2 linked regions of the Elephas maximus indicus genome follow. Each later gene encodes a partner of the first gene's protein in a complex. Links are inferred from orthologs where the notes say so. Each region holds a gene or a part of one and is shown on either strand. Other genes may lie near its edges.

Region 1 (16,080 bases):
CCCCTGGACTAGGAGCTTCTCAGGCTCAGGGACCCCAAGAACAAAGGACACACACTCTGCTCCCTGTGCTGCTTTCTTGGTGGTATGAAGTCCCTCCTCTCTGCTTCTCTTTCCTTTTATTTCTTGTAATATAAAAGATGGTGCAGGCCACACTCCGGGGAAACTCCCTTTACCTTGGATCAGGAATGTGACCTTAGTAAAGGTGTTACAATCCCAGCCTAATCTCTTTAACGCAAAATCACAATCACAAAATGGAGGACAACCACCCAATACTGGGAATCATGGCCTAACCAAGTTGACACATATTTTGGGGGAACAAAATTCAATGCATGACGGTGTCCGTCAACAGATGAATGGATTAACAAATGCTGGTAAATACACACAATGGAATACTATGCAACAATAAAGAATAATGATGAATTTGTGAAACATCTCACAACATGGATGTATTTGGAGGGCATTATGCTGAATAAAATAATTCAATCACAAAAGAAAAAATATTGTATGAGACCCGTATTATAAAGTAACAACAAAAAGGTTTACACACAGAAAAAACAAACAAAAAAAAACATTCTTTGATGGTTACCAGGGGTGGGAGGGAGAGAGAGGGAAAATTACCAAATAGATAGAGGACACAAGTTAATATTGGTGAAGGGAAAGGCAGAACACAACATGGGAGAAGTCAGCACAACATGACCAAGGCAAGAGAGGACGCTGAGAGAGATGCAAGAATAAAGGGCAACTACCGAAACTACTATCTGTAGCATAGACAATCCTGCAACAGTAGTATTAACAAAGGAGAATTTACGAATGGATACATAGGTAGATAGATATGCCAAGAGGTGTGGGAGGGTATAAGGGAGCACATCCACCAGCAGATTCAGGTTTGGTGGTGGGTATTTCTACATACATGACTGTAGGTGCTCCTCATATGTTAATACAGACAACAGAGCACACAAGGGATACAGTCAGGGAAAATGCTTAGACATGACCAAACACCTCTCGGGATGAAGTTACTAGGCTCGAAGTCAAAGGACCATACACTCAGGGGACATCTATGTAGGCTTTGCAATAGCTCAGGCGTTTTTTCCGAGTCCCCTCTGAGTGGACTCAAACATCTAACTTTTGGTTAGCAGCCAAGCACATTAACTCTTTGCACCACCCAGTGACTCCGTTATTATATAGTTACTGTTAATAACACCACCATTAATGATCCAGTTCCCTTAGCTTTACAGATTCAGAAATTTAATCTTACTGTGGGTTGATCCAGTTCAGATGAAAATAACATTAGTCAAACTCACAAAAGGGCAGAATACCACACAGTTTAATTAGAATGAGAAATCAGTTTTCCAGTTTTTTAATACACACACTGGCTATCCAAATCATGAATTCTCAGTAGCAAAATATGAGATGCTGTTCAGTACACAGAACAAAAGCCAAGGATGAGGCTGTTTGATGGAATACATTTTCAGACCGATAGAGCTGGGACTCCTGATTCAGACCCGCCTTTGCTGAGATCAGAACACCCACGGCCATCAGACAGAACACCTTCCATGCCAGCTTTAAGCAGAGACAATGTTTGCCTTGCTCCCCATTGCCCCCCACTGCCTGACTCACAGCAGCTGATAAATATTTGTACAATAAATGAATTTCTTGGGCAAGTTTAACATCAACAGATTCTTGTTCCTTTGCTGTCCCTTTTTATATTCTAGGCAAACCGCCTCTTCTCCTTCGGGCAGGATGTTATTCATTGAACCACAGCTTTTCTTACATCAAACCAAACCCCAGTTGCTGCGAAGTCTATTCTGACTCATGGGGATTCCAGGTGTTACAACACAGAGCTGCTCCGTAGGTTTTCTTGGCTGTCATCTTTTTTGGAAGCAGATCACCAGGCCTTTATTCTGTGGAACCACTGGGTGGGTTCAAACCCCCAACCTTTAGGTTAATAGCCGATCATAAAGTGCTTACTCTACCCAGAGACCTCTTTCTTACATTAGTTGCATTTTTTTTTCCTCAATGGAGTCATCTTGACAAATTTTGGGAAATACCCTCTTCTTATCAGTAGTACATTTACAAATCTTCTAAACAAGCCCTCTCCTGCTCCTTCCTATGGTCTGTGTAACTGGCATTCCCCTCTTTTTTTTCTTCCAATTGCTACTGAGTTGGTTCCAACTCATGGCAAGCCCATGTGTATCAGAAAAGAAATAGTTCCACAGGGTTCCCAGTGGCTGATTTTTTGAAAGTAGATGGCCAGGCTTTTCTTTCGATGTGTCTGGGTAGACCACCAGCCTTTGGGCTAGAGCCAAGTGCTTAACCAGTTGCACGACTCAGGGACTCCTGCCATTCTCCTACATACTACATATATGACAATTATTGCCCATGTGTGATGTCCTCTCTCTGCGGCCCTGGAACCGTTTGCTGCTCTGCCCCTCTGACCAAGGTTCAAGAGTACCTCTTCCTGCCAGAAAGGCGATCATCCTTTAGGTAGTTTCGCTGCATTAAATTCAATGTTGTAATAACTTATCCATATTCAGCTCCCCAAGCAACTATATGAATGAGCTGGCCACGTTTGTAGGCTTCCTCCTGGACTTCGCTTGATCCAAGGACAAGCCCATCTCCTCTTAACAGTTGTCAAAGGCACTCAGCCAGCCGAGAAGGAGAAACAGCCCATCCATCCGTCCCTTTCTGTTGAAGGGTAAAGGAATGCTGAGCAGACTGGCTGGTGAGCACTGAGGCTGGACACATGCAAAGGAAACAGTCACCTGGTTTTCCTGTCTTGGGTGAACTTGGCAGAATCCTAGTTGTTCCCTAACCTGGCTCCATCTCCTATTGTTGTGAACCGCCCTTGAGTCGGGCCCCCTACTCACAGCGACCCCATGCACAACACAACAGAACAAAACGTCTGCCTGCTCCTGCACCATCCCCATGATCAGTTGCAGACTGGACCACTGTGATCCTAAGGTTTCCAATGGTTGATTTTGAGAAGTAGATTGCCAGGGCTTTCTTCCTAGTCCATCTTAGTCTGGAAGCTCTACTGAAACCTGTTCAGCGTCATAGCAACACACAGGCCCTCGCTGCAGGGAAGCCCCCACTTACAGAGAGGTGGTGGCTATGCATGAGGTGCGTTGGCCAGGAGGAATCGAACCTAGGCCTCCCACATGAAAGGCGAGAATTCTACCATTGAACCACCACTGCCCTCGCTCCATGTCCTAACAGTTGGATAAATTATCTAACCATTTGCCTTTCCCAGCAAATTTTAGGAAATCAGTAGGGAAAGGCTTCAAAATTCCAATCAAACCCAAACCAAACCCACTGCCATCGAGTCGATTCCAACTCACAGCAACCCAACAGAACAGAGTACAACTACCCCATGATGTTTCCAAGGCTGTGATCCTTACAGAAGCAGACCGCCTTATTTTTCTCCCAGGGAGCAGCTGGTGGGTTCATACCACCAACCTTCTGCTTAACCATGGGGCCACCAGGGTACCTTAACTCCAATCAAGAGGAGCATTATCTCCTGCCCACCCCTCTGGGAATCCTAAAACAAATCTCAGTTAACTATTCACTTGTCTTTATAAGTACACAAACCACCCTCATGCCTCAAGCATTTCATTCTCCTTGAACAAAATGCTCACGCTGGTATTTCCTGGACAGGTTTCAGTGGCGACAGGGAAGGCATGGCTTCCTTAAAGAATCTTGCAGGATCTTATTCAGACGTATCATGTGAGTTTCTCAAGGGTCGTTCTGGGTATCGAGTCTTCTCTCCCTCCTTGTCCTCCCCCATAATACTTCCAACAAGTTGTAACCTGACATGCCTGTTCTTTGGGCCAGAAATATGACAACTATTCAGATAAGCCAGTGGAATTTAAAGTGCAGGTTCACGGCTTTGGCGCTTTATAACATTAGGCGTGCCTGCCTCTAAAGTGTACAGAGAAATAAACCCTGCAGCTAGTAACATACCAAGCACTCAGGAGATAGTTAATAACAATTTGTGGGATGAAGTAATGAATTCCATTTTAACGTAGGGGGATATTTTTACCCGTAAAGGATTATGGTATTTAATGTAATTTTTATACCTTTAAAAAATGTTTTTATAAGTTAAAAATTTTTTTGTTTTCATGTGTAAGGAGCTTAAAGTGAGGTTAACTTTTAATTTCAAGTTCAACCTTTGGTTTTCTTTAAGACAGCGTAACGGAGTGAAAAGAGCTTGGTGTTTGGAGGCAGACCCATTTCTGATTCCCAGTTCTGGCATAGTTTGAAGATAACGTATAATTTACGGGACTTGCAATGAGTAAATGAGGTGGCCTGTGACATTCCTGCACGTGGTGGGAGACGGGAATGGGAGGGGCGGGGTGGCCTTCCTACCAGGCCAGACCATCTGTTGTCATGCAAAGGTTTGGGGTCTTCTAATTCCCTGGTAAAGAGTCACTCGGAGTCCCTGGGTGGTGCAAACGGTTGATGCGCTCAGCTGCTAATCAAAAAGTTGAAGGTTCAAGTCCACCCGGCGTTCCCTTGGAAGAAAGGCCTGGTGATCTACTTTGAAAAATCAGCCCTTGAAAACTCTGTGGAGCACACCTCCACTCTGACACAAGGGGTCATCATGAATCGGAATCGCTGAGATGCCGTTCACTTCAGAGGCCAGAAAAAATGAGAAGAGGCCGTATCCCTCAGGTTCAACCCACTTGGCCACATCTACACTTAGCCTTCTCATATTTGGATACTTGTTTTTTTTAATGTGCTTTTCTGTATTATAGGGGCTCTGGTGCACAGTGGTCAAGTGTCTGGCTGCTAACCAAAAGGTCGGCAGTTCGAATCCACAGGCCGCTCCTTGGAAACCCTATGGGGCAGTTCTACTCTGTCCTATAGGGTTGCTATGAGTCCAAATCGACTTGACAGCAACGAGTTCTATATTATATGATAATTTGGATCTCATTTACCAGTGTAACAGCTAGGTCTCCCTCACGAAGCCTCTAACAGACCTGTTCTTTTTTAAAGGCTTGCTCCACGGCTAAGTGTAACCGAAACTCTCACCAGCTCATGATGATCTCCAAAAAAAGAAAAAAAAAAACAGAAAACCCAACCCATTGCCACCAATTCCAACTCACTGAGACCCTATAGGACAGAGCAGAACTGCCTCTTGTGGTTTCCAAGGCTATAATCTTTTTGGGAGCCAAGTGCCACATCTTTCTCCTGTGCAGCAGCTAGTGGGTTCGATCAAACCTCCAACCTTTCGGTTAGGAGCCGAGCACACAACCACTACGCCACCAGATCTCAGGGACTCCGAAATTGGCAAATATTCCCGGGAAATCACAGGGAAATTTGTGTGCTGCATGATTAATCTCGGGTGGCTGGGTTCCGGAAAAGCACATGTGTGTTTGCAACAAGCAGCAGCTTGCAGAATCTCACAAAACAAACTGTTTCATGGAGAGGCCCTGAGGTCGGGGTTTTGGACTGAAGTTCAGAGAGTGGGGCTTGGCAATGGCAGAAAATGCCAGATGAGCGGACAACGGATCTCCTTTGAGTACACTAATATTCAAAGAGACGGCACCCTGAACAAGATGATAAAATGGAGCCAGAGTCTAACACAGCATAAGAGAAGCCCAGTAGGGTGCAGGATCATATGAGAAGGATAATAAAATTCATCACAATAATTACCCCCAGCCCAGGTCCCCAACAAGCACCAACAATAGCTCAGCTCAATGAAGTTATTCATCCATATTCAAGTCGCCTTGCTCATTATCTGCAGACAAAAACCCCGCTGGGGCCTCACTCCTTCCAGGCTCCCGGCAGCCCTCCCCACAGTCAGCAGACCTTCTTTCTTCAGCAACCCCGTTTCTAGAACCAAACGCAGCTGTTTTTGCAGACAAGACTTAACACCGCCTTTTAGGAGTACCTTGGACATTCAGGAACGGCTTTAATTACAACTAACCCTTCCCTGGGAGAGAAGCGAGGGTGATGCTCAGCTGCTGTCCTTAGTGGACCTGGGATGGGGCTCCGTTTGGGGGGCCTCCCACACCTCTCACTGGTGAGCACAAAATGGTGTCATCTGCACATTGTCTCACCAAAAAGGAAATGCAGTTGATATACACAACTGTATATATTCCAGAGGAAACAAGAGTTCCAAAGATAGGACTGCAGGAATAGCCCACGGGCCATAAAGAGAGTCCATTCTTCCCCACGCTGTCTAGCACAGAGTAGGCAACCTGTATAATTTCTGTAAGGTGGGATATTTTTGTCTCTGCATGGAATTATAGAAACCTAGGTTAGGTCTGCCCCCTCCATCAAACTCTTCCCTCCAGGAAGGATCCTTCTGAGTCTAGGTCTAGCTCACTCTTCAATTTGCACAATGAAGGTGTTTAACTTTTCAGAGCCCAGCTCACCACCCTCCAACTCCAAGCATCACTAGTGGGCTAACCATGCCTTCAACCTACTTAGTGAACCCCTACTACGTGCCAGACACCATTTTGACCCTAGGGATCAAGACTAGATGGAGCTGTGTCCTCAGGAGCTTCTACTCTACCTGGCAAACCAATAAAAATAAAAACCAAGGTAAAAATAAAATATTGACCACTGATCATGGATATCACCAGCAGGCTGGGCACAAAGAGGAAAGGGAGGTGAAGGAGATGTAAGAGGAAGAGGAGGAAATGGGAAAGGGAAGAGGAAAGAGGCTGGTGATGGGGCAGGTAGCATCCCTCCTCATCAAAATCTTAAACATTTAAAGTTATTTAAAGAAATCACGACATTAATTCAGTTATTGACATCGGCCAGACTCAATATGTGGCCCCAAACGAATTTAAACCTCAGGTTTCACAATCCTTCACTCGTTCAGGCTACTCAGTCAGGAAACACTTTGGCTCTTTCTGTCCCCTCCACACAGCTATCCTCATTAGCTGAGGCCTCTTCCAGTACCTGCCCAGCGATGGGCAGCATGGAGTGTGTCTGCATGCTGGCCCACAGGGTGTTAAGACCTGGCAGCCGAAAAAGAGGAAAAGCAGGAAGAATCCTCCTCCCTTCTCACCCCGCCCCGCCACCTCAGGTCCCTCTGGACTCCCGGTGCCAAATTTCCTTGGCCGCGGTAACCCTCCAGTACACAGCCCTGCGGGAATGCCCGGTCTCCCCTGCCACGGAGAACGGCTTGCTCCTGTTATCTCCAACCCAAACTGGCATTGTGAGCTGAGCAGGGGGTGGCAGGAGGTCAGCTGAACCAGAGCGAGGCCCCTCTGCCCCCACCTTACGCCCGTGGCTTGGGGGCCCGCTCATCTGCTTCTTTGAGGCTCTGCACCAGCTTCGCACATACACCCGCAGCTCCTTCCGCTCTCCTGGGCAACCTCACAAACCAGGCAAAGCCTTCCAGCGAGTCTCAGATCATTCCCACCAGCAATGGAAGGTATCACTCGTGTTGGCTCTTACCTCCTTCTGCCAGGACCCAGAGTGACGCGCTTCCCAAGATGAGGAGCAGAACCGGCACCTTCAACATGCTTTTAGTTGGCTGATTCTCTTTGGGGCCGAGAAGCTAGTGTTTGTGCTGCGCAAAGATAAAAAGCTGGTGGCCCCAAGCCCTCGCCTGAAGGACCAGGAGAGCGGGATAGGAATGCGGGGAGCAAAAGGCCCAGAGCAGGAGTCCCCAAGCTTCCTCCACTGCAACTAACGGAGGAGCCCGCCTTAAGGAGAGCAAACTTTGCAGTTCAGAACTTTCCGAGCGGAGTCAGCATTTATCTCTCCGAACGAGGGCGGGGAGCGGGTCCAGTAAGGTGGTCCCAGACCGAGGCGCACTAGGACCGCCCCCCGGCTCTGCTTGGCCGCCGCTAACTCGATGATCTCAGACCAGGTTTAAAGTTACAGGCCGGCAGCTGCGGGGGCTACCAGGACGCGTGCGAAGCCCGAACCCTCCCCAAATTGGCTTTTATTTTGACCAACAGCGGGAGGCAAGGGGAGCGCCTAGGTGGGGCGGGGGAGTGCTATGAGCGGTTCTTTCTGACTCTATTTGTTGTTGCATTTTTTAAGAGTAAGGCATCAAGCTGTGTTTTTCTTGCTATGTGCTGAAGCGAGAAGTCAACGGTTCCTTGTGTGGCCAGTCATTTTAGATCCCGGCATGGGATGGTTCCTGTAAATATTGAATTTGATGACTAAAGAAAACCAAGGCAGGCGTTCTCATCTGGGTGGGCCAGAGGCGGCTCGGGCTGCTAAATTGCCCCCTTGTCCCGGGCGCCCGGAGCGGACAGGCGCTGGTGGGGAACTGTGCGCACGCACTTGGTGGCTTGGGCCGTTTTGAAAAACACTGAGCAGGGACCCGCCTCTCCTGGCCCTGGATGCCGAGTTTGGCAGATGCAGTGCCACACGGGAGGTGCAGCGTCTGAGGAGGCACAGCCGCAGCCGGAGACGTCAAACGGGACCCACCTGGGCACCAAGCCTGCTTGTCCACTTCTCGCTCGGGCTCCTCCTCCTCAAGTCTGGAGTTTGGCCACATAATCTCTACTTTGCTTCTTTAAACAATCTTGTCATGAGCTCAGGTATGAGATGTTAGGAACAGGAAGAGAGCATATATATATACATATATATATAAGAGTTCGGAAGGCAATAAAGTAAATATATAAGTAATATATATGCATTTACTGAATATAAAAGTATAGGAGGTCTGGTGTCGCAGTGGCTAAAGCGCTGGACTGCAAACCCAAAGATAGGCGGTTGGAACCCACCAGGTGCTTGTGGGAGTAAGATGTGGCCTCGGCTTCCTTTAAGATTTACAGCCTGGGGAATCCTAAGAGGCAATTCTACTCAGACCTATAGGGTCGATCTGAGTCTGAAACGACCAACAGCAGTGGGTTTCGGGTACAAATAATATAAATACATATTTATTTATACAGTAAAACCTGCGAAAGCTGGAACTTGGGTAAGGCAGAAACCTGTCAGAGAAGGAAAAAAATATTTTCCACTAATAGTGACAGAAAAGTGGTAAGACTGTCAAAGGTGGAAAACGTTCGAGACCCGGAAAAACAAGGCAGTCCTGGGGAGTCCCAGCTCTTACAGTCTCACCATATATTTATTTACTGTATTTTGCCTGGTGGCATAGTGGTTAAGTGCTACAGCTGCTAACCAAAGGGTCAGCAGTTTCAATCCGCCAGGCGCTCCTTGGAAACTCTATGGGGCAGTTCTACTCTGTCCTATAGGGTTGCTATGAGTCGGAATCCACTCGAGGGTGCTGGGCTTGGTTTTTTTTTTTTTTTTTTTTTGGTTTGATATATGCATATACGTAAATGTGTTTCCTTCTGAACTGTTTAAATTTTTTAAAAAATAATTTTTTTTAAAGAGTTACTGGGGACGTGGTGTGCGCTCCCAAATGTCGTAAATTCCATTCAACACTCCATAAAAAAAAAATGGTTGTTTTCAGATCCTTATCCTAGATCTGGTTTCCCAATTAACTTCATTAGGAGAATCACATGGGATGGTTGTTAAAAATCTCAGATTCTTGGGCTCTACCCCAAACTTATTGAATCAGATCCTTTGGAAACTAGCATTTTCAACTAGTCCCCCAGGAGAATTTGTCCAGGGGATTTCTGGTAAACTTTGCCCTCTGGCAGGGCTTCTCAAACTTCAGCAGGCAGGTGAATCACCTGGGGGTTAGTTAAAATGCAAGGCTGGGGTGGGGCTGAGATTCTGCATTTGTAAAGCTCTCCCAGGTGAGGGAGGCCGCTGTTGACCACCCCCAGGCTACAAAATAAAAGCCTGGAGTGAAGGGCAGAGGGAAAGTCACCCCAACCCCCTTCCCTCCAGAGCCACGGGGTTGGAAACAAAGAGAAAACTAGGGCTAGAAAAAGAGAACCTTTCCTGAACTGACTCCCCGATTTTACTAGTACGTTTCCTAAAAAAACCCCAGTGCTGTCGAGTCTATTCTGACTCGTAGTGACTCTATGGGACGAGAGTAGAACTGCCCCAAAGAGCTTCCAAGGAGCACCTGGAGGATTCAAACTGCTGACCCTTTGGTTAGCAGCGAGAGCACTTAACCACTACTCCACCAGGGTTTCCAGTACATTTATTATTACTGTATTATTCCAATATCAATCATGTTTGTGACAGGCTGGTAAATGTATTGTCTGTAGAGCCTGCTAGCTGGACAAGAGCTGCAAATCCCACCTCACTCACTCCAGTGTCACAAACACTCACCCCAGTATAGCTTTGCAAAAGCAAAACTACCTTCCCTTGGAAATTGGAGACACAAGATTAAAAAAAAAAACTGGAGCTTAAATGAAAGTTGTTAGTTGCCATTGAGTTGACTCCAGTTCATGACGACCTAATGTATAACAGAAGAAAATGTTGCCTGGGCCTGCGCGTCTTCATGATCCTTGGTATGTTTGAGCCCATTGTTGAGGCTATTGTTGTCAATCCATCTCCTTGAAGGTTTCCCTAATTTACTTTGGGCCTCTACCACTAAAGTCCCTGCCCAGCACAAATGGATAAGTGCCCGACTACTAGCTGAAAGGTTGGTAGTTCAAACCCACCCAGAGGCGCCTCGGAAGACAGGCCTGGTGATCTGCTTCTGAAAGGTTAAAACCAAAGGGGGAAAAAAAAACGTTGCCGTTGAGTCAGTTCCAACTCATAGTGACCCTGTAGGACACAGAACTGCCCTACAGGATTTCTAAGGCTGTAAGTCTTCACAGAAGCAGACTACCACATCTTTCTCCTGTGGAGTGGCTGGTGGGTTCGAACCACCAGCGTTTTGGTTAGTGGCCAAGCACATAACTTTGAAAACTCTATGGAGCAGTTCTACTCTGCACACATGGGGGACGCCATGAGTCTGAATTGACTGGAGGTCAGCTAACGAAGACTTTATCACGTGGGGGAGGATCGGTCAATCGCAGTTAACTTAGCAGGATGATTGGGGCTAGGTTATTATTCAAAGAGACGGTCCCCAGAGAGCCCTGGTGGCACAGCGGTTAAAGCGCTTGGCTGCTAACCAAAAGATCCTCAGGAGAAAGATGTGATAGTCTGCTTCCATTAAGATTACAGCCTTGGAAGCCCTCTGAGGCCGTTCTACTCTGTCCCATAGGTAGCTATGAGTCAATCAACTGTGCGGCAGTGGGTTTGGTTTTTGTCCTTTTTTTTTGTTGTTTTGGTGCCCAGAGGGAAAGGCCTAGTTTCTAGAAGGGCATCATCACCTGACCTTCTTGTAGGGGACAAAAGGGACAGGTAATGTTGCTGTGTGCCATTAAGTCAATTACGACTCACAGTAACCCAATAGGACAGAGTAGAACTGCCATATTGGAGCCCTGGCGGTGTCGTGGTTAAGAGCTCAGCTGCTAACCAAAAAGCTGGCAGTTCAAATCTACCAGCCACTCCTTAGAAACCCTATGAGGCAGTTCTACCCTGTCCTGTACGGCTGCTATGAGTCGGAACTGACTCAACAGCACCTAATAGCAACACAGGGTTTCCTAGGTTGCGATCTTTACAGAGCAGATGGCTGGTGGGTTCAAACCGCTGACCTTTCAGTCAAGCTCTTAACCATGGCACCACTAGGGCTTCTCACTGGTGGGACTCACTAGGGAGAGTTATTGGCCCTGTGAGGGGGAACCCAGGGACCAGATGCGAAGGGTGGAAGCAATGGGGGGCAGGGTGGGATGAGGGAGAATGCTGGGCGTCTGGGTGAGAAGTTTGAGCCAGGGTGCACCTGAGTGTCTCAGGTTTGGGCTAAAGCAGCTGCTGGGAAGCACTGGGGCTTAGACACCTGAGAAGGAGCCCACCTGAGAGGAGTAACGAAACAAGCGCCAGAAGTTTCCTTCCATGCTCGTGAAACAGCTGGTGCTCCTAAAGTGGCGACTGAGAATCATGTCAGACACAGGAACAAGGACAGCCATGTTCAGACCTTTGCTGTGGCCAGGATGTGCACTATCTCATTTAATCTTCAATACACCCCTGGGTTTTAGGGACATGGATAACATCCATTTTGCACAAAACAAAGCAGGCTTAGAGCAGCAGCTTCCTCAGGGTGTGTTGGAATCGCCTGGAGGGTTGGCTAAACCACAGCTCGATAGGCCCCGCACCCCGCCCCCAAAAAAACCAAACCCATTGCAGTTGAGTCAATTCCACCTCATAGTGACCTTAAAGGACAGAGTAGAACTGCCGCATAGGGCTTCCAAGGAGCACCTAGTGGATTCGAACTCCCAACCTTTAGGTTAGCAGCCGTATCTCTTAACCACTAGGGCTTCCAGGCCTCACCCCAGAGTTTCTCATTCATTAGGATGGGGTGGAGGCCTGAGGATCTACATTACTACCAGGTTCCCAGGTGATGCTGATGCTGCTGGGGCCACACTTTGAGAACCATTGGCTTAGAGTCTGTGCAAATTGTCCAGGATGATACAGCTTAAGAGTGGTGGCATCACGCGTCCCTCTGTTGTGGAGCAGGACTTGAGCCTAGGGTCAGATTAAACAGTAAACATGGTAAACATTGGCTTGCATTGAGCAAGGTACCCACGGGCTTAATTGTGTTTACTTGCTAATCTGCAGTGAGCCATTTCACATGGGTTTCACCACATCTTTGACACAGAGAGAGACAGGTGAGATTGTTTACTGCAGGTTGGTGGGAAGGCACAACTGGGCCGGTGCTTACCTTGCTTATTGTGTAATCTGGCCCTGCTTGAGCCTGTTAATGGTGCTGGTACTTCTTAAGAATTTGGAAGGAGAGATCTATAAGTTACTTCTAGGAAACAAACCAAATTGAACCAGCTGCCAAGGGGTCAATTCCAACTTAAAGTCCCTATAGGACTGAGTAGAACTGCCCCATAGGGTTTTAAGGCTGTAAATCTTTATAGAAGCAGACTGCCATGTCTTTCATCCTAGGAGTGGCTGGTGGGTTTGAACCGAGACCTTTCGGTTAGCAGTGGAGTGCTTAACCACTGAGCCACCAGGGCTCCTCCTATAGAAAGCAGGAGACCACATAAAGGGAAGGGGAGCAGGGTGCAGAAAGAGAAGGAGCCGAGCAAAGACCAGAAGAATCCAGGGCATCCACCGTGAGAGCCTCCACTCGGGGACTCTCCATCCAGAGGGCTGAAGATGGAATGGTCTGAAACATTGCAATATGGTTGTGAGGATGGCGCAGGACTGGGCAGTGTTTCCTTCTGCTGTACGTGGGGTTTCTATGAGATACCTCTGGCTCCATCTCTGATCTCAAGGGCATCCTTGTGACCTAGGAGAAAATCATACATTGGGGCACAAGCTGGGCCCAAAATGTGTTTGGCAGGAATGTGATGGGGGCCATGGGTGGGAGGTGGCACTGGACCTGAAGGAACCCCCAGCAGCTTGGTTTGCTGGAAAGAACCAGTATTTGAAGTTAACATCCAGCTCCATGGGTAGCCTCAGGCAACAAGAATCTCAGTATCGGCTTCTTTGAAATTGGGGTGAAAAAAAAAATAAATGGGGGTATTATTCCTCCCTTGGGGAGTCTCTGAGTAGTACAAATGGTTAAAGTCCTTGGCTGCTAATCTAAAGGTTGGAAATTCAAGTCCACCCAGAGGCGACTCAGCTATGGCTGCTAACCAAAAGTCAGTAGTTCGAATCCACCAGGTGCCCCTTGAAAACCCTAAGGAACAGCTCTACTCTGTCCTATAGGGTCACTATGAGTCAGAATCAACTCTATGGCAATGGGTTTTTATCTACTTCCCAAAAATCAGCCACGGAAAACCCTATGGAATGCCAGGTCTCCTCTGACACACTCCTTACCTTGGGACTTACTGCTGCCAGCCCACTCTGGATCCCTGTCCCACAACCTGAGCCCAAGTCTTCCTCTGTGAAACCAAACTACCACTCCCTCCCCCCAGTTCCACCCAGGAACTAGGGTTCTCTCCTGTGACCCCAATCTGGAGGCTGCCTCCTGCCACCTGCTGTAGTGTGTACTGGGAGCTGGCTTGGATTTCTGATGGTGACCCCCCCAGGCTACCCCACCCCACACAGGAGTGCTTTAGTGAACAACCAGCCCCTCCTGCTCTGAGTTAAACGATCTCACTCATTATTCTAGTGGGCTGCACACAGGTTTGCTCATGTACCCCCAAAATGAGCTTTGAAAAACTAGGAACCAATTATTTTTCATCATACAGTTAAACAAGTATATTTTGAAGGTAGAATATATTAAACACTTGGCTGAAAGAAATACGATGAAGATTGACTGTAACTGGAAAAAAAATTTCATTATTTGATTTGATAAAACTTACTAAATAAGGGCACTATGTAAACAATTATATAAAATTTTGGTCTGTGCATTTTATCCATCCACCTTAACAAATCCTTTTTTTTAAATAATTTTTATTGTGCTTTAAGTGATTTTTTTTAAGTGAAAGTTTACAAATCAAGTCAGTCTCTCACACAAAAACTTATATACACCTTGCTACATACTTTGAATTACTCTCCCCCTAATAAGACAGCCCACTCTCTCCTTCCACTCTTTTCGTGCCCATTTCGCCAGCTTCTAACCCCCTCAACCCTCTCATCTCTCCTCCAGGCAGGAGATACCAACATAGTCTCAAGTGTCCACCTGATCCAAGAAGCTCACTGCTCACCAGCGTCCCTCTCCAACCCATTGTCCAGTCCAATCCATGTCTGAAGAGTTGGCTTCGGCAGTGGTTCCTGTCCTGAGCCAACAGAAGGTCTGGGGGCCGTGACCACTGGGGTCCTTCTAGTCTCAGTCAGACCATTAAGTCTGGTCTTTTCATGAGAATTTGGAGTCTGCATCCCACTGCTATCCTGCTCCCTCAGGAATTCTCTGTTGTATTCCCTCTCAGGGGAGTCATTGGTTGTAGCTGGGCACCATCTAGTTCTTCTGGACTCGGGATGATGTAGTCTCTGGTTCATGTGGCCCTTTCTGTCTCTTGGGCTCGTAATTACCTTGTGTCCTTGGTGTTCTTCATTCTCCTTTGATCCAGGTAGGTTGAGACCAATTGATGCATCTTAGATGGCTGCTTGCTAGCGTTTAAGACCCCAGATGCCACTCTTTGCAGAATGTTTTCTTAATAAATTTTCTCATGCCAATTGACTTAGATATCTCCTGAAACCATGGTCCCCAAACCCCTGGAAACTTCTTTGCTTTTGGATTACTCCTGTTTCTGCTGACCTCCCCTGTATTGTGTATTGTCTTTCCATTAACCTAAAGTAGTTCTTATCTACTATCTAATTAGTTAATACCCCTCTCCTACCTTCCCTCCTTCCTCCCTCTCGTAACCACAAAAGAATGTGTTCTTCTCAGTTTAAACTATTTCTCAAGTTCTTATAATAGTGGTCTTATACAATATTTGTCCTTTTGCAACTAATTTCACTCAGCATAATGCCTTCCAGGTTCCTCCATGTTATGAAATGTTTCACAGATTCCTCACTGTTCTTTATCGATGTGTAGTATTCCATTGTGTGAATATACCATAATTTATTTATCCATTCATCCACTGGTGGACATCTTAGTTGCTTCCAGCTTTTTGCTATTGTAAACAAAAAAAAAAAATTGTAAACAGTGCTGCAATAAACATGGGTGTGCATATATCTGTTCGCGTAAAGGTTCTTATTTCTCTAGGATATATTCTGAGGAGTGGGATTGCTGGATCGTATGGTAGTTCTATTTCTAGCTTTTTAAGGAAGCACCAAATCAATTTCCAAAGTGGTTGTACCATTCGACATTCCCATCAGCAGTGTATTAGTGTTCCAATCTCTCCGCAGCCTCTCCAACATTTATTATTTTGTGTTTTTTGGATTAATGCCAGCCTTGTTGGAGTGAGATGAAGTCTCATTGTAGTTTTCATCTGCATTTCTCTAATGGCTAATGATCGTGAACATTTCCTCATGCATCTGTTAGCTACCTGAATGTTTCCTTTAATGAAGTATCTATTCATATCTTTTGCCCATTTTTTAATTGGGGTATTTGTCTTTTTGCAGTTGACTTTTTGCACTATCACGTAGATTTTAGAGATCAGGCACTGATCGGAAATGTCATAGCTAAAAACTTTTTCCCAGTCTGTAGGTAGTCTTTTTATTCTTTTGGTGAAGTCTTTGGATGAACATAGGTGTTTGATTTTTAGAAGCTCCCAGTTACCTAGTTTTTCTTCTGCA
Region 2 (16,211 bases), on another chromosome or scaffold:
CTGTCGCGTCGATTCTGACTCACAGTGACCCTGTAGGAAAGGGTACAACTGTCCCATAGGGTTTCCAAGGAGCCGCTGGTGGTTTCGAACTGGCAACCTTTTGTTTTAGGAGCCTAGCTCTTAACCACTGCCCCACAAGGGCTGTGTAGCCTTATGAGCAAAGTAATAATATTAGACTCATGGACAAGGAAATTGGGTTTTAAAGAGGCTAAATTACTAATCCAAAGTCACATATGAAGCAAGTTTTAAGGAGTTTTTCTTGAAATGTCTTAAAGACTTTATATCAGAATCCTGTGGAGGTGCATGTTAACTACACAGGTCTCTGGATCTCCTCAGTCTTCAGACTGCTTACCATCAGTACTCATTTGTATGTGGATATCTGCAAGTTTTAATGAACACCTCAATTGAGATGTTTGAGAATCATTTCTATAAATTTTAATCTCACTAATGTAAGATGACAGAGCACCATCACGGCATCTGTGGGTAAGAAATGCAATTGTTTGCCTGTTATCCTGTTCAAACGTGCCTCTCCACATGGTCTATAAATACTTTCTGAGTTATTCAGCAAAAACCAAGGATAAAACTGCTAGAAAAAGAACCAGATAAGGCATTTTTACTTGCTTCTGGGCTTACCATCCATGGTTCTTCTTAGAGTATTTTTACTTGCTCTTCTGTCTACTAGAAGCATTTACTCATTTTACAAAGACCATGAGGTTTCTGACAAACTTTATTTTTCCTTCTGCAGAGAAAATTATTGCTATTGAGTTTGAGCAGAGGTGAACTTGGAATTGTAATGATATTTGTAGAGTCCTTTTACTAGTTAGTTTCTAGTAAATTATCTTATTCAATGAGAAGCAATTTTTTTCTGTTCCCCGTGAGCCAGGAACTGTGTTGGGTGCTGGACACAGAACAGTGAATAATAAAGTCATGGCATTTGCCTTCACAGGGTGTCTGGTATGGTTAACACCCCGAAGCTTGATTTTAGGTTGTAGAATCGTGAGGAATATAAGACAGAGTTATCATTCTACTTTAAATATGTGAAGATAGAAGTTAAAGAGGCTACTTGAATAATCCATGATCATATTTCAGCTAAGTGACCACACCATCTAAATTATTCTACTGATTTCAAATTCAGTACTCTTTCCACTATCTTATGCTGTCTTTCAAATGCAGACATTTTTCATAGCTTAAGCCAATTAAGCCCTAACCTTTTACTGTTCCAAGTTTAATTTTATACGTTAACGTCTGAATATAGAATGAATCATACAAAGTCCAGATAATGAGGAATGAAAGACAGGAAGAAAGGAAATTAATGGAAAGCAGAACAATTGGAAAGCAAATGATCAACTCATAGAGCTGACTTGTGGATGTATAAAGAAAAGGTTAAGTGATGTTGGATACAAAGATAATATAAAGGTGGCTCCATGCTGAAGAGAGGGAGAAATAAGAAATTTTATGGCTTGTGATTCTTTCATCAAGGCTTTTTATTGTATAATCAATCATTTGTCTGTGATACCCTGTTCATCTCTCTCATTAAAGTAGTTTGTCCACCTTTGCCATCCCAGCTTTCCGCTCACATATTAGATAATGTTTGTTCTTACAGAAGGAAGGGTGGATTTTCCCGTTATGAAAATAAGCACAATTCATGTTTTCTCTTCCATCTCCTGGAAGTTCAGGCCTATAAATGGAAAAGGTAGAATGAGTTTACTTGAAAGCTAAATAAATAATCAACAATCAAACCCTGTGTGCAGAATTTTGTGGCAGAAAGTGGAACCAATGAGTAGGGGGGAGTATAAACCAAGATCCATGCAACTGAGAAACTTCCAATATGCTTGGGAGTGGAAGGTATACACCAAAAAAAAAAAAAAAAAACCCACAGCCATTGAGTCGATTCTGACTCATAGCAATTGAAAATTTCAATACCAATTTAATATACAATAAATTTAAATAGTAAGTGAACACTAGGCTCAATAGGAGTCCAGAGGAAGAGATGGATGTGGGTCTGAAAAGGTGAGTAAAGGCTTTATCTAGAAGATGAGGCTTGAGTTCTGTCTTGAAGCAAGAGTAGGACTTAGGTAAGAGGAGACAAGTAGGGTGTAGATAAGATGGGAGGGCCTGGCAAGGCAAACAGCTGCACAAGATAGGAATGAACTCAAGGAAAAATGAGTTGATTAAATATTTTTGAACTGAAAATTTGTTATAGGGTAGTAGATAAAAGACAACACATTATATTATAATTGGCTATTAATCTGTCTGTATTCCTTGTTAGGGAAACCCTAGTAGCATAGTGGGTAAGAGCTACGTCTACTAACCAAAAGGTTGGCAGTTCAAATCCACCAGGTGTTCCTTGGAAACTCTATGGGGCAGTTCTACTCTGTCCTGTAGGGTCGCTATGAGTCGGAATCAACTCAACAGCAACAGGTTTGGTTTTTTGGTATCTCTTACTAGATTCCTTATGATGAAACGCCAAGGAATATATATGTACTAATCTATTTGACAATACCTATGGAACCCTTCCTATGTGCTAAAGTTGTGTATGTGCTGAGGATATGGTGGTAAACAAAGAAAGGTTTTTTTTCTTGGGGAGGTTATGTTATAGTAGGAGGATATTGCTAAGAAGCCAACAAATAAACAGATAAAATAACATCAGAGAACTGGTAAAATTGGTGAAGAAACAAGAGTATGATATGATAGACCTTGATTGGAGTAGATACCAGGGAGGCTAATTTAGTTTGAGAGATTAGAATTACTCTCACTGAGGAAATATTATTTAAACAGAGGCTTGAGTGACAAAGGGAGCCAGTTACGGAGTTCTGGAAGCAGAGCATTCTAGGTAGAGGGAACAGCAAGTACAAAAGCCCTAAGACAACTAAGCAAGACTGATTTGTCGATAAATAGAAGGAAGGCCAGTTTGTCTAGAATATTGTGAAAGAGTTAATAAGTGTTAAGAGATAAAGCCCAAGACTTAGAAAGAGGCTTGCTTGTGATCTTAATGTTCTGACCCTACAGTAAATAATAACTATTTGGTGAATAGTTAATAACTTAAGTTGTTCTCACGTTATAGATTTTGAATGTAGTTTATATTTGGATTAGAGAGACTTTGCAGCTTTCATATATAGGTTGAATAGACGGTGGTAGGACTGAAAAGCCATATTAAAAAATAATTGCCCAAGAGTTGATTCAGACTCACATCAACCCTACAGGACAGAGTAGAACTGTTCTGTAGGGTTTCCAAGGAGTGGCTCGTGGATTCGAACCGCTGACCTTTTGGTTAGCAGCTGAGCTCTTAACCACTGTGCCACTACAGCATAAAGAAAAGGCATATTAGGTAACTCCTAATGCAATTGGCCCTTTTGGCTGGATTGCCTCTAGCAGAATGGAGCCTTTTTACATGAACATTAGAATTTCCTTGTGAACTAAAATATGACTGATTCTTGGAGATGCCTAGGTTGGGAAAGTAGGCAGATGACACTGAAAAGTTAAAGGGACCTCCAAGGCAAAAATTTTCAGCCATAAGATAATGAGGATAATAATTTTGTTTTAAAAATATGTGAAGACAATTATAGAAAGGAAAAATGAAAACATAAAATGCTTCAAAGGTAAAGTTGAGGGCAAAAATGGATGGGAAAAAAAGTATGAAGAATACATGTGAATTGTGGTTTAGATAAAGAGAAGAATAAGAGCATGGGGAAGGTTGAGTTATTTTATTACCAGTGTTTTTTTGTTGGAGTAGGGCATGTGTGACTCAGCTGCTGTTTATGTAACCCATAGTAAGATATAGAGCTCCTCTCAAATTATAAGTAACTTGCACTCAAGAGGGAAGGGAATCTCAGAAACAAAAATTGCTAGCAGTGCCTTGAACTCTGAATGTTCAGTGACTTACATATTTTTGGAGAAAACTGAGCCAACTGAGCCATCTTCCCACATCCAGACTCCATTAGAGTTCTGGCGAGACAATCCTACCCAACGTATCAAACCAGTCCTGGCTTTGATATACTCCTGTTGTAAACACAAATAAACATAAAGGTCAGAATGCCTCCAAAGCTCTTGGTGATGACCTAAAGACAAAGTTTCATGATAAGACCCTTGACAAAAAGAAATGTTGGATTATATGTTTATATTAATATTAATGCATGCACCACCAGGGCTCCTTATATTCGAGACTTAAAATTGTACCAAATTGGCTTGTTTTAGAATTAAAAAACAAATAAACAAACAAAAAAACCCTTTATATTTATAGGGCATAAGAAAAATTATATACAAAATATCTAATATTCTAATCTTCTTCTGTGTTTATATGATTATATCTTCCATCAACTGAAGATTAGAGTATCAAAGAGAATACCAACTATGACCCTGAAATGGAGTAAACAGTAAATGACTGTAGTCCTTGGGTGGTGCAAATGGTTGATGTGCTGGGTTTGAGGTTGGAGTCCACCTAGAGGCACCTCGAAAAAAGATCTGGCAATTAAAAAAGAAAAAAAAAACCATAGAAAACCCTGTGGATCACAGTTCTATCTGATAGACACGGAGTTTCCAGGAGTTAGAACTGACTTGATGGCAACTGGTAAACGACTATAGAAAAGGAAATCATCGTTGTTAAGACTTTAATGCCCCAGAAGTAAGCTTTATCTGAATTTATTTTTTGCTTAGATTGTCTATAAAATCTTTCATGTAGAAGTTATAATTTGTTTTAGTTGATGGGTTAAAAGAGAATTACATGGTATTTTTCTCAAATGGATTATAAATAACATTCATCTATTTTTTCTTCTTAGCAATTATCACCATCAGGTGTGTGTGTGTACTATACTTTATGAATGGAGCCCTCATGGTGCAGTTGTTAAGTATTCTGCTGCTAACTGGAAGGTGGGCTGTTACAATGCACTAGCTTATTTTAGGGAAAAAGATGTGGCAGTCTTTGTAAATCTTCTGTAAAGATTTACAGCCTGGAAAACTTATGGGGCAGTTCTACTCTGTCCCATAGGGTCGCTATGAGTGGAAATAGACTCGATGGCACACAAAAACAACACTATACTATATCTATTTGTTTTGTTTATTGTCTGTAGAATATAAATTCCATGAGATTAGGAATTTTTGTCTGTTTTAGTGACTGCAAAGCTTCAAATTCCTGGAATAGTTCTAACATATATTTGTTGAATTAGTACATAAATCAATTAACCTCTCTCTATAAACCAAAACCAAATTCATTGCCATCGAGTGGATTCTGACTCATAGTGACCCTGTAGGACAGAGTAGAACTGCCCCATAGGGTTTTCAAGGAGTAGCTGGTGGATTTGAACTGCCAAGCTTTTTTTTTTTTTTTTTTGGACTTTCGGATTCTGTTCCAAGTTAGTAAATAGAGGTAAGGAAATTGAGAGAGGTTAAATTACTTACAGAAAAGATAAGACAAGACCTCAAAGTCCCTTGAGCCCTAAATCAGCACTTTCTACTCTCAAATGTTGTCATTTTTACTGAGCTTGATAAGGTTTTTAGATTAGCACAGACTGAAAGACGTAAGAAAAATATAAACAAAGCCAAATGTTACATTTGAGAGTTTCTTCTCGTAACTCCAAAACATTTGACCTAAGAATCTCCTTACCAGAATGTTCTGGCTGGCAATCTTCGGAAGAGTAGCATTCACGCCAGAGCAGTACTGCTTACTCTCTTCCCATGTCAAGTTGTGCTTGAAGAATCCATAGCAACTATCCCCATAGTATCTCCAGTTTTTGTCACAGGGGCTGCACTTATGGCCTTAAGGAGAGATCAGGCATAGGAACCATTTCATTCTAAATCAGGCTTACATTTTCCCCACATTCAGTGTTTCCCGCAGATCTCAAGATTCACTACAAATACCAGCACAAAAAAATACTCTGGTGTTAGAGGAGATCAAGAGTTACCAAACCACACTTACTGAAATTTTCTTTTTGTTCAGATTGTTTTATTAAATCTTGGCAGAAGCGCTTTGCTAATTGTTGCAGAGTTCCTGAAAGGTTTTCATTCTCAGCTTGTAGGAGATTCTGCTGTGTGACAGCTAAATGTAAAAATTAGATAATAACAATTTGTAATCAGGACCTTAAGTGTGACGCAAAGGCTTTTCAATAAACTTTCATTTTAATAGAATTGCCGTGCTATGAAGTGTTTACAAGGTACACATAAGTAAATGATACCTACAAAGGGATATGGGCAAAGGGGAATATTTTAAAAATATATATATAGAAAACTGACACTTGAGAGTTATCTAATAAAATGAGTGAACTCTTTAAGGAGAACAGTCACAAATAAGAAAATCTCATGAACAAATACACACCTAAAGCAATTGTTTTGACATTTTATTAAATGCAGGTTTCTAAACAGTGTTAACAGAAGTGAACACCTCTGCTATTTTCTGCTCTTAATGTCATACCAGAATATTCATTCACTGAAAAAAATACATACTGATTTCATGCTATGCCCAAAGTACTATGAGATTCAGGTGTATGAACGATCGTGAATGAAAGATTATTAAATATCTCATGAAAAAAAGAAAAAACAAGTATTCAAACAATCAAAAACTACCTAAAGTAAAAGGTGACATTGTAGGGCTATTAGGTTTACAGGAAGAAAAAACAATGTTTATCAGTTAGGTGGGATATGAATTGTCTCTTAGAGGAAGTAAGTAAATTTGTAAACAAAATAGGAAGGAAGGTATTTTAAGAAGCGGGAATAGGATAGGCAAAATTTCAGGCAGGTAGATACAGAATTTATTTATGAAATTGAGAAGACCCTGGTTTGGCTGGATCTGAGGATATGCAATGATGAAAGAAAGATTTCAAAATATAACTTGCATTCATACTCAAGAGAATCTTAAAGGCTAGTTTAAAATTCTTGAAAATAATTTTTAAATTTTTAATAGATAAACAGTTTAAAAAGTGATTTTGATCAAGAGGTAAAGGCCAGAGAAAATCTTGGCAACTATATATATAGTATGATTGGAGTAGTAACAAATGGAAGGACAATTAAGAAACTTAGTGTGATATACCAAAACCCTTAGGTATTGCCATCCTCAGACCAAACCCTTGTCAGTGAGTCAATACTTACACATAATTCTCAGAGCTACCAGCCCAACAACCATCCCTGTGCACAAGATCAGAAGAACAAAAGCCATCACACGCCACAAAGAGGACACAGGGTCAGCTGTGGACATACAATAAATATGTCAGGGAGCAGTAATAGGGCATGGCTATGGGACAGTGTCACCTGTGCCCCAGCCTCTTGGAATTTTCCAAGATCTTGCCTGTGTTCCTTGTTGATCATCAACAATAAGCACAACCCACTCCCATACCACACATCCATCCCCATCACCAATGGACTTCCCCTCTCTGAGCCAAAATATAACCCAGCTGTTAAGACATTATTGTTTGTTTTGTTTTGTGTACACTCCCCTTCCCCCCCATAAATATTCTTTAATAGGCAACTACTTAAGAATTATACCCACTTACTAGGATCCTGGAAAATGGTGGTTTCCAAACATTCCTTCCCCTGTTACCCCATATCCTTCACTTCAGCACCATCCAGCATTAAACTCTAGGAGCCTTAATGCAAGTTCATTATTATGTCTCCTGTGTTGTCTTTCTTCTAAATAAGTCTGAGTCTATGTAAATACTACTAAGGGCTATAGAGAAAGAACATCATTCAGGAAAAACAAAACAGAACAAAAAACAAAGCTGTATGTATTATCTCTAGTAGAAAAAGGGAAAACAGAGTTGACTTATTTTACTAATTAATTTCCAGATTTTTGGTTCTGGGCATTCTTACCTGAGGTGAAAGCTGATCTTCGAGTTTTAATATTTAAGGCTACGTATCCATCTTCATCCTGCATGGCCTCACTTGGACTGCAAGTGAGCTCAGGGGTCCAGTGACTTGGCAAAATGTAGTGTCCACTCTTAAGATTCCAAAGTCTGTCAGTCTGTGATCCTCCTCAACTGGGAGAGTGGAGCCGTATGAGTTAGGACACATGTTTTGTTTATTCTTTTTCCAGGAAGCCCTTTCATAGTTGTTCAGAGATACATGGACATTGAACATAAAATAAATAAATAAAAAGCAAAAATAATAAATTGTGGTAAAGGAGTAGATATGGCATTTGTTTCCTGTTTCCTCATCTTCAGCTTAAAGTAAAGAGATATTCCAGCATGTGTATCCTTTCAAAGAACCAAAAATTTTTCTGAAGTTCATACTTCATCTTAACCCTGTTGTTGTTGTTAGGTGCCATTGAGTCGGTTCTGACACATAGTGACCCTATGTACAACAGAACTAAACACTGTCAGGTCCTGCACCGTTCTCACTATCGTTGCTATGTTTGAACTTATTGTTGTAGCCACCATGTCAGTCCATCTCATAGAGTGTCTTCTTTTCTGAGGCCCTTCTACTTTACCAAGCATGATTTCTTTCCCCATTGACTGTTCCCTCCTGATAACATATTCAAAGTACCTGAGATGAAGTCTCACCATCCTTGCTTCCCTCATAGAACCTAAATCATATTGTTTAAATGAAGTGACTTCTGTGGAAAATCATGGATAAAACACCAGCAGAAGAACATGTCTAATATAATTTGATCAAATACTGCCTAAATTAGAAATTCCATGGTCTTGTATTGGAACGAACTATTCATAATTATGTCCTAGAACTCATTCAAATTCTTGTATCTCTAATAAATCAAATTTTCAAAAAATTTAGGAGTCCACATAGGGCTGGCTTTATACGACTTAGGTTTAGGCATTGAAGGAAAACAGACAAATAAAATGACACTATCCGGAGTTAATGACTTGCTGTACTATCAAAAAAATCAAACCCATTGCCATTGAGTTGATACTGACTTATAGTGATTTTTATAGGACAGAGCAGGACTGCCCCATAGGGTTTCCAGGGAGTGGCTGGTAGGTTCAAAACAATGACCTTTGGGTTAGCAGCCTGAGTTTTTAACCATTGCACCACTAGGGCTTCAAATTGATGTATAGCCCTTCAGTAATATTTTTACTTTGCAGTGAATTTCTTGGAATGGAAGAATCTTAATTCAGTAGAATCACGCAAGTTCAAGTATAGGGTGCCTGGATGAAGAACTATTTGGGGACTGGGTGGTTTCCAGTTCCCTTTACCTCACAATATAATAGTGTATTCCACATATTACCTTTATTAATTAGGCTTTCAAATTATTATTTCAGCTTATGTTGAAAGTAGTTATTTTGTCTTCTCCCCCGCCCCCCAACACACACAGCCCTTTTTCCTTTTTTTTTTTTTGTTCAGGGAACTGTACCTGAAAAAAAGTTCTTTATTCCAAATTTTTGATGAGTCTGAACTTGGAATAAAAACCTTCATTCATTCAACAGTTTAGAGATTAAGAAGTCACTCTTATATAAACCATCTCTTTTATTTTAAACAAATAATTAATGAATGTTCAGTATGCATCAGACACTGTAATTGGAGTTGAATATTCATAGAGAAAATCATAGTCCATATCCACTTGGTGCACAGAGTCTTAAATTAGACAACACACTATTTTCGTTAGACTATTTAGAACAATTTCTTCACACTCAAACATACCAGCCCACATTCCCTTCCCTCTTCCTTTCTTCACTTTTTTCCACAGCACTTATCACTATCTGACCCACATAGAGTCTTTTTATATATTTAAATCTTTGTCATTTATCCCCACGAGAATGTATTCCACGCCTCTATAATGGAGATTGGCAGATCGTTTCCACCCAATAAGTATTTGTTGAATGAATGAATATATGTACAATGGGCATTACCATGCTAATTTTATACATGTAGAAAGAGACATTTAAGGTATTTTGGGTACTTTTCTATGTAAATAGAAACCCTGGTGGCACAGTGGTTAAGAGCTATGGCTACTTACCAAAAGGTTGGCAGTTCAAATCCATGAGGCACTCTTTGGAAACCCTATGGGGAAATTCTACTCTGTCCTTTAGGGTTGCTATGATTCGGAATTGACTCGAAGGCAATGGGTTTGTTTGTTTGTTTGTTTCTGTGTAAATAGCAGTATAATTTACCCAGGTTTCAGGTTCTTTCAATGACATTATGATGTCTTTCAAATTTAGGCATTGTCCGACTCCATTGTCTATGTTTATGCTGAAGAATGGATGAAAAGTCACTAGGATCACAATGATAAGGTATAAGTGCAATAAGCAAGGAAATTACTGGAATGTAAAACATTGTGGATGTCACTGGTCAATATACAATGATGTGTAAAAGAGACAAGAAACTGATGCTTCCTACCTACTACAGGTGTTAAAATAATGGCTTCCAATTGAAAAAAAGGGATGTGAACATTTTGTAGCTGGTGATAGCTTGTTATAGATCTTTTAGTGTACACCTCCTTTAAGGTAAAGTCTTGGGTGCATGATCAGTGATATCCTATTCTATTATCCATCCCTCTGCATTAGTATTACTGGTTCACCTTTGCCTTGCCAGTCTTATACACACATATAAGTACTTTAATTTTATGTTATTAGTATCCAGATTGAGTGAATATAATTTTTAAAATAAATTTCATCCCATAATTATCCTCTTGCTCCTCCTTGTGGCCATTTTTTTTCTTTCTGATTTTAATTTCTTCTTGTGGCTGTCTGCATGTGTAAGGTTTTACAGCTTTGGAAGTCCAGCGGGGCGGTGCTACTCTGCCCTATAGGGTCACTATGAGTCAGAATCAACTTGATGGCAGTGGGTTTGGTTTTTTTGTAGGTTTTGGTTGTTTTCTTTGGATCCTTGATACCTCTGGATTGAATATTTACTCCTTTTCCTTTTTGTAAATAATTTTGAATTAATTCCTATTCTGGCCATTCTCCGGGTGCTATTCAATCTGCACCACTTTTTTTAAATGTTCTCTGAAACAGGCATACCTTGTGGGAATGGAATGATCATTGATAAACAGTGAGATTATAGCTTCCTGTAGTATAAACTCAGCATTTCTTTAATTTGGCTTAAATTGGCAATACTTCCATATTTAGTACCTGTGTTTCTGTGTTCCCTTATTTTCCACAGTGAACAAGATTTTCTGATGTATTTATTCACGTGAGAGTAAGAAGAGAAGCCAAGATGTTTCCAAGTTTTTGGGTGAGGAATAGCAAGTAAGGAGTTTCGTTTACTGAGATGAGAAAGCTTTGATGGGACACATTGGGAAAAGGCTGTTTGTTACTGGGTATGTTAGGTTTGAAAATCCTATAACGTATATAAGTAAATATGCCCATCTGTAGTCAGATATATGGGCCTGAAGATCAGTTCCTGGAGTGCAAATATGAATTTAGAGTTATTAGTGTGGTGTAGCAGTTAAGAGCTATGGCTGCTAACCAAAAGTTTGGCAGTTCAACTCCACCAGGCTCTCCTGGGAAATCCTATGGGGCAGTTCTACTCTGCCCTATAGGTCACTATGAGTCGGAATCAACTCGATAGCAATGAGTTTTAACAGGTTAGTGCATGTCTGCTACTTTAAGCCATGAATGTAGAAAAGCTCATTCAAGGACGAATGTAAACAGAAGACAGAGTGTCGCGGACTGAACTCTGGGGCACACCAACATTTAGAAGTTGAAAAGCTAGTGAAGAATTATCAAGCCTGGAAAAATGGGCAGTGAAGTAAAAGGAAAACCAGGAAAGAATGTTGTCTTGAGGACCAAAGTATTTTGGAGATAACCAAACCTGTTGCTTTCAAGTCGATTCCAATTTATAGTGACCCTACTGGACAAAGTAGAACTGCCCCATAGGGTTTCCAAGGATGGCTGGTGGATTAGAACTGTTGACCTTTTGGTTAGGAGCTGGGAGCTCTTAACCACCACGCCACCAAAGAAGAAAGATATTAACAAATGCTGCTTATAGGTTAAGTAAGTTGAAGTCTGAGAAACAGCCATTTTATTTGCTAATGTGGAGGCTAAATGGTGGCTCTGACGGGAGTGATTTTGTAGGAATAAACCAGTTGCCAACGAGCTCGTCCAGATCACGGTGGCCCCATGTATGTCAGAGCAGAACTGTGGTTTTCAATGGCTGAATTTTGGGGAGTAGATTACCAGAATTTTCTTCTGAAGTAGCTCTGAGTGGACTCCAACCTTCAACCTTTCAATGAGCAGCCAAGCAAGTTAACTGTTTGCACCACCCAGCGATACCTTTTGGAGATACAGTTATTGCAAACGCTTGACTAGAGTGAGGTTCAGGAAAAGCAGAAAGAAACACAGCAGGCATAGACAGCTTTTTGAGCACTTCTACTGTTAAGAGAATTGGAGAAATTAGAGAAAAGGGGTGATAGTGTGTGTGTGGTGGGGGACAGTGAGGAACAAGGGAGGTGTTTTTGTTGTTGATGTTGTTTTAATTCCTGAGTTTACCTGCAGTTCTCTCAAGCAGTAGATATTTTCTTGTCCACACATCATCACACATCTTGTACTGCTGGGCCTGGCAATGAATTAGGTCATCTGCTTACTCCTCACTTTTGCTTTTATACCTTTTTCCCTTAAAAACTTCCAACATCTTTTTAGCTCATTTTATCAGATTATACCATAAGATAACCCACTTTATAATTCACCTACAAAGATATTAAAATCACCGGTGATTATGACAGGAGTAGAGGCGAGCAAGGAGACATTAATAAGTTGAAAATGATGAAGGAATGTTTCAGAATTTGGCAGATGATTGCAACAAGATGAGTTAAACCTCAGACTTGGGAACAAAAAAAAGGCTTCAGTTAGAGCAAGAAAATGAAAGGAGTTTAGAGTGAAAAGATTGAGATAAATATAGTGAAGTTTGCTGAAGACTGCCTGTATGATCTGGAAGGTACAATTTACGAGTTTGAGGTTAGAGAGGGGTATCAGATTAGGGGATTCACAGAGGCTTCAGGGTACAAAACAATCTGAAGGGTCCTCATATCCAGTGTTCCATATGAATATCTAGTTATTCCAACACTATTTGTTGAAAATACTTTCCTTTCTCTGTTGGATTATTTTGGCACCTTTGCTGAAAATAAGACAAACATATGAATATGGGCGTATTGTTGTTGTGTGCCATAGCGTTAATTCCAACTCACAGTTACCTGATGGGACAGAGTAGAATTGCCTCATAGAGTTTCTTAGGCTGTAATCTTTATGGGAGCAGATTGCCAGGTCTTTTCTCCTGTGTAACCCCTGGTGGGTTTGAACTGGCAGCATTTTGGTTAGCAGCCAAACGCTTAACCTTTGTACCATGAGGGCTCCTTTTGTGTATGTACATAAGGGGATTTATCTGTGGGCCTTGTTCTGTCCCATTGATCTATTTGTTAATTCTTATTCCGATATCCCACTATCCTGAATACTGCAGGTTTATAGCAATTCTTGAAGTCAGATTGTATAAGTGCTCCAATTTTCTTGTTTTTAAAAATGGTTGTTTTGGATATTTAAGGTCCTTTGCATTTCCATATTGATTTTAAAATCTATGTATCTACTTTTTAATTCTAGGACTTTTATTGAAATTGAATTGAATGTACAGATAAATTCGAGGAAAACTATTTTAATGGTATCATTTTTCCAATTCATTAACACGGTATATGTCTTCATTTATTTAAGATCTCTTTAGTCATTCTCAGCAGTGTTTTGTAGTTTTCAGTGTAGTGATCTTGCAAATATTCTGTTATATTTTTTCTAAGTATTTTATGCTTTTTGTGCTATATAAGATGATTTTTAAAAAATGCCTCATTTCTAGTTATTTACTGCAGGTATAGAAAATGTTTATAGAAAATACAATAAATATTTGTATATTAAGATTGTATCTTGTGATATTTTTAATTTTATTGATTAGTTCTGGAGCTGTTTTGTAGATTCCTTTGGCTTTTCTATGGAAAAAAAAAAAAAAAAAGCATGTCATCTGGAACCAGAGATTGTTTATTTCTTTGTTTCCAGTCTCTGTTTTCTTTATTTTTACTGCCTTATGGCACTGGTTAGGATCTCCGATACAATTCTTATAAACATACTTAACATCCTTTCTTTGTTCCTGATTTTAGGGGAAAAATGTTCACCATTTCACTACTGACGTTAATACCAATCAGAAATTTTCCATAGATGCCTTTTATCAGATTTGGAAAGTTACATGGTATTCCTACTTTGTTGAACATTTTCTCATAGATGGGTGTTGAACTTTGTCAAATACTTTTTCTTCATGTAATAAAATCATTATATGAATTTCTCCTTTTTTCTGAGTAATTTTTTTAGTGTTAAACCTTGCTTTCCTGGGATAAACCCTACTCCATCATTATTATCATTTTAATGTATTCTTAGACTTCACTTACTAATATTTTGCTAAGAATTTTTGTGTGTCTATTCATGAGAGATATTGGCCTTTATTTTGGTTTTCTTGCAAAGGCTGTGAGGCTTTTTGTACTATGGTTACCCTAACTTCATCAAACGATATGAGGTTTACGAGTGATATGTTCATATCAATACGTTCCTGCTCCTGGGTTTTCTTAAAGAGTCTGTGTAAGATTGGTGAGATTTGTGTAATCATTTGATAGAATTCATCACTGAAGTCATTTTGGCTTAGAGTTTTCTTGTGGGAGAATTTGAAAACAAAATTAAATTTCTTGAATACATATAGGGCTACTCAGATTTTTTGTTTCAACTTCTGCTAACTTTGGAAAGTTGTATATAATTCAATAAATTTTTCTATTTTATCTATGCTATTTTTTTTTTTTTTGGCATGAAGTTGTTCCTAATGTATTCAGTTTATCTTTTAATGCGTAAAGGTTCTATGATGTTAACTCCTCCTGCATTCCATGTTATGTCATGGAGACTAAATTCTGTTATATTCTTCTGAAGAATGTTGTTATTTTTGTTGCAGTAGGCCATTAACTTGGTTGGACTCAAACTTCAAACTTCGTCTCTTGGAAAGCAGCTTAAATCTCAGTCCCATTCTTTCTGTTTTAGCTGAGCTACCTGCAGTCTGAAGAGCCTCGGTGGAACAGAGGTTAAAGCGCTAGGCTGCTGAGTTTGAGCCTGCAAGCAGCTCCGTGGGAGAAATATGAGGCATTCTGCTTCTGTAAAGATTTACAGCCTAATAAACCCTATGGGGAAGTTCTACTCTGTCCTATAGGGTCACTATGAGTTACAATCGACTCCATGCCAGTGAGTTTGGTTTTATTTGAAGTCTGTTTCCATGTACTCATGGTTCAAGATAAGACAGATATTTGGGGAGAATTTATACATAGGATTTGGGACTCCTTCTCTTTCACTGCCTCCTTTCCATGGCCATCCACTCACTTTCCAGGGGCTGTGGTTGCCCCAAACTCCATCTTCTGACTTTTCAGGCCTGAAAGACTGCATGTTTTCCACTGGAGATTCAGCTGCTCTGCAGGGCACTGTGGCTGTGGGTTGTCCTCAGGTTAAAAGCCAAATAAACAAAAACAAAACTAAAAAAATACTTCACTATGTGCCAGTCTCATTCTCTCTAGAACCTTCCAAATTTTTCACTCTCTTGAAACTTCAGGTAGTTATTTTAAAAATCTTGCCCTAAATATTTGGTTGTTATTTGCAGATTGATCACTCTGGTAGGAACTTATCCATGCCAGAAGGGAAATCCTGTTCATGTACAATTTTAATAGCTATCCATTTATTCTCCATGCCTCATTACCAACACCATACCTCTCTCTGTCTCATTTTCTCTCTCTTTCTCTTCCTCTCTCTCTCACACACACACACACACTTTGGGTTTCTTACAACAGCAGTCAGGGGTGTATGGCCTTTAACTACACAGTTCCTCCAGCCTTAGTATGCGTGTCTCTGCTTGATATCTGATGTGGGTGAGTATAAATCAGATCCCATATCTCCAACCAGTATTAGCTGGCCTTTGTCACATGTAAAGAAGACACTTGTTCCTTTACTGAAACATTCAGAGCTTCTACCTTGAGGATCTTGGGAGCTCTCTATGAAACTACTATGCCTGCTCTGCCTGCTAACACACCTTTGCTAACATACCTTCTTCTTTTCTTTTTTTTTTTAATAATTTTATTTATTTTGTTGTTGAGAATATACACACCAAAACATATACCAGTTCAACAGTTTCTACACATGCGATATAGTGACACTGATTACATTCTTCAAATTGTGCAACATTCTCACCCCCTTTTCTGAGTTTTTCTTCCCCTGTTAACTTAAGCTTATTGCCCCCTAAAGTTCCTATCTAATCTTTCGAGTTGCTGTTGTCAATTTGAT

The links.
Region 2: the proteins of PDPN (region 1) and CLEC1B are in contact, whole or in part, in a crystal structure (PDB 3WSR), measured with the Homo sapiens proteins. The link is inferred for Elephas maximus indicus from reciprocal best matches to the Homo sapiens genes PDPN and CLEC1B. Residues at the interface, in NP_006465.4 of Homo sapiens: Ala46, Glu47, Asp48, Asp49, Val50; in NP_001380271.1 of Homo sapiens: Arg107, Phe116, Arg118, Arg152, Thr153, His154, Leu155, Arg157.

What each region holds. Positions count from the first base shown.
Region 1 is NC_064821.1:52,778,945-52,795,024, reverse strand, and holds the start of PDPN (podoplanin), read right to left. Parts: upstream 7,704-16,080; 5' UTR 7,481-7,703; coding exon 7,414-7,480; intron 1-7,413. UniProt on the Homo sapiens protein: Mediates effects on cell migration and adhesion through its different partners.
Region 2 is NC_064822.1:67,299,325-67,315,535, reverse strand, and holds the start of CLEC1B (C-type lectin domain family 1 member B), read right to left. Parts: upstream 7,965-16,211; 5' UTR 7,859-7,964; coding exon 7,795-7,858; intron 7,768-7,794; exon of another isoform or gene 7,479-7,767; intron 7,174-7,478; coding exon 7,078-7,173; intron 6,032-7,077; coding exon 5,912-6,031; intron 5,752-5,911; coding exon 5,600-5,751; intron 4,000-5,599; coding exon 3,884-3,999; intron 1,679-3,883; coding exon 1,602-1,678; coding exon of another isoform or gene 1,534-1,601; exon of another isoform or gene 1,272-1,533; intron 1-1,271. UniProt on the Homo sapiens protein: C-type lectin-like receptor that functions as a platelet receptor for the lymphatic endothelial marker, PDPN.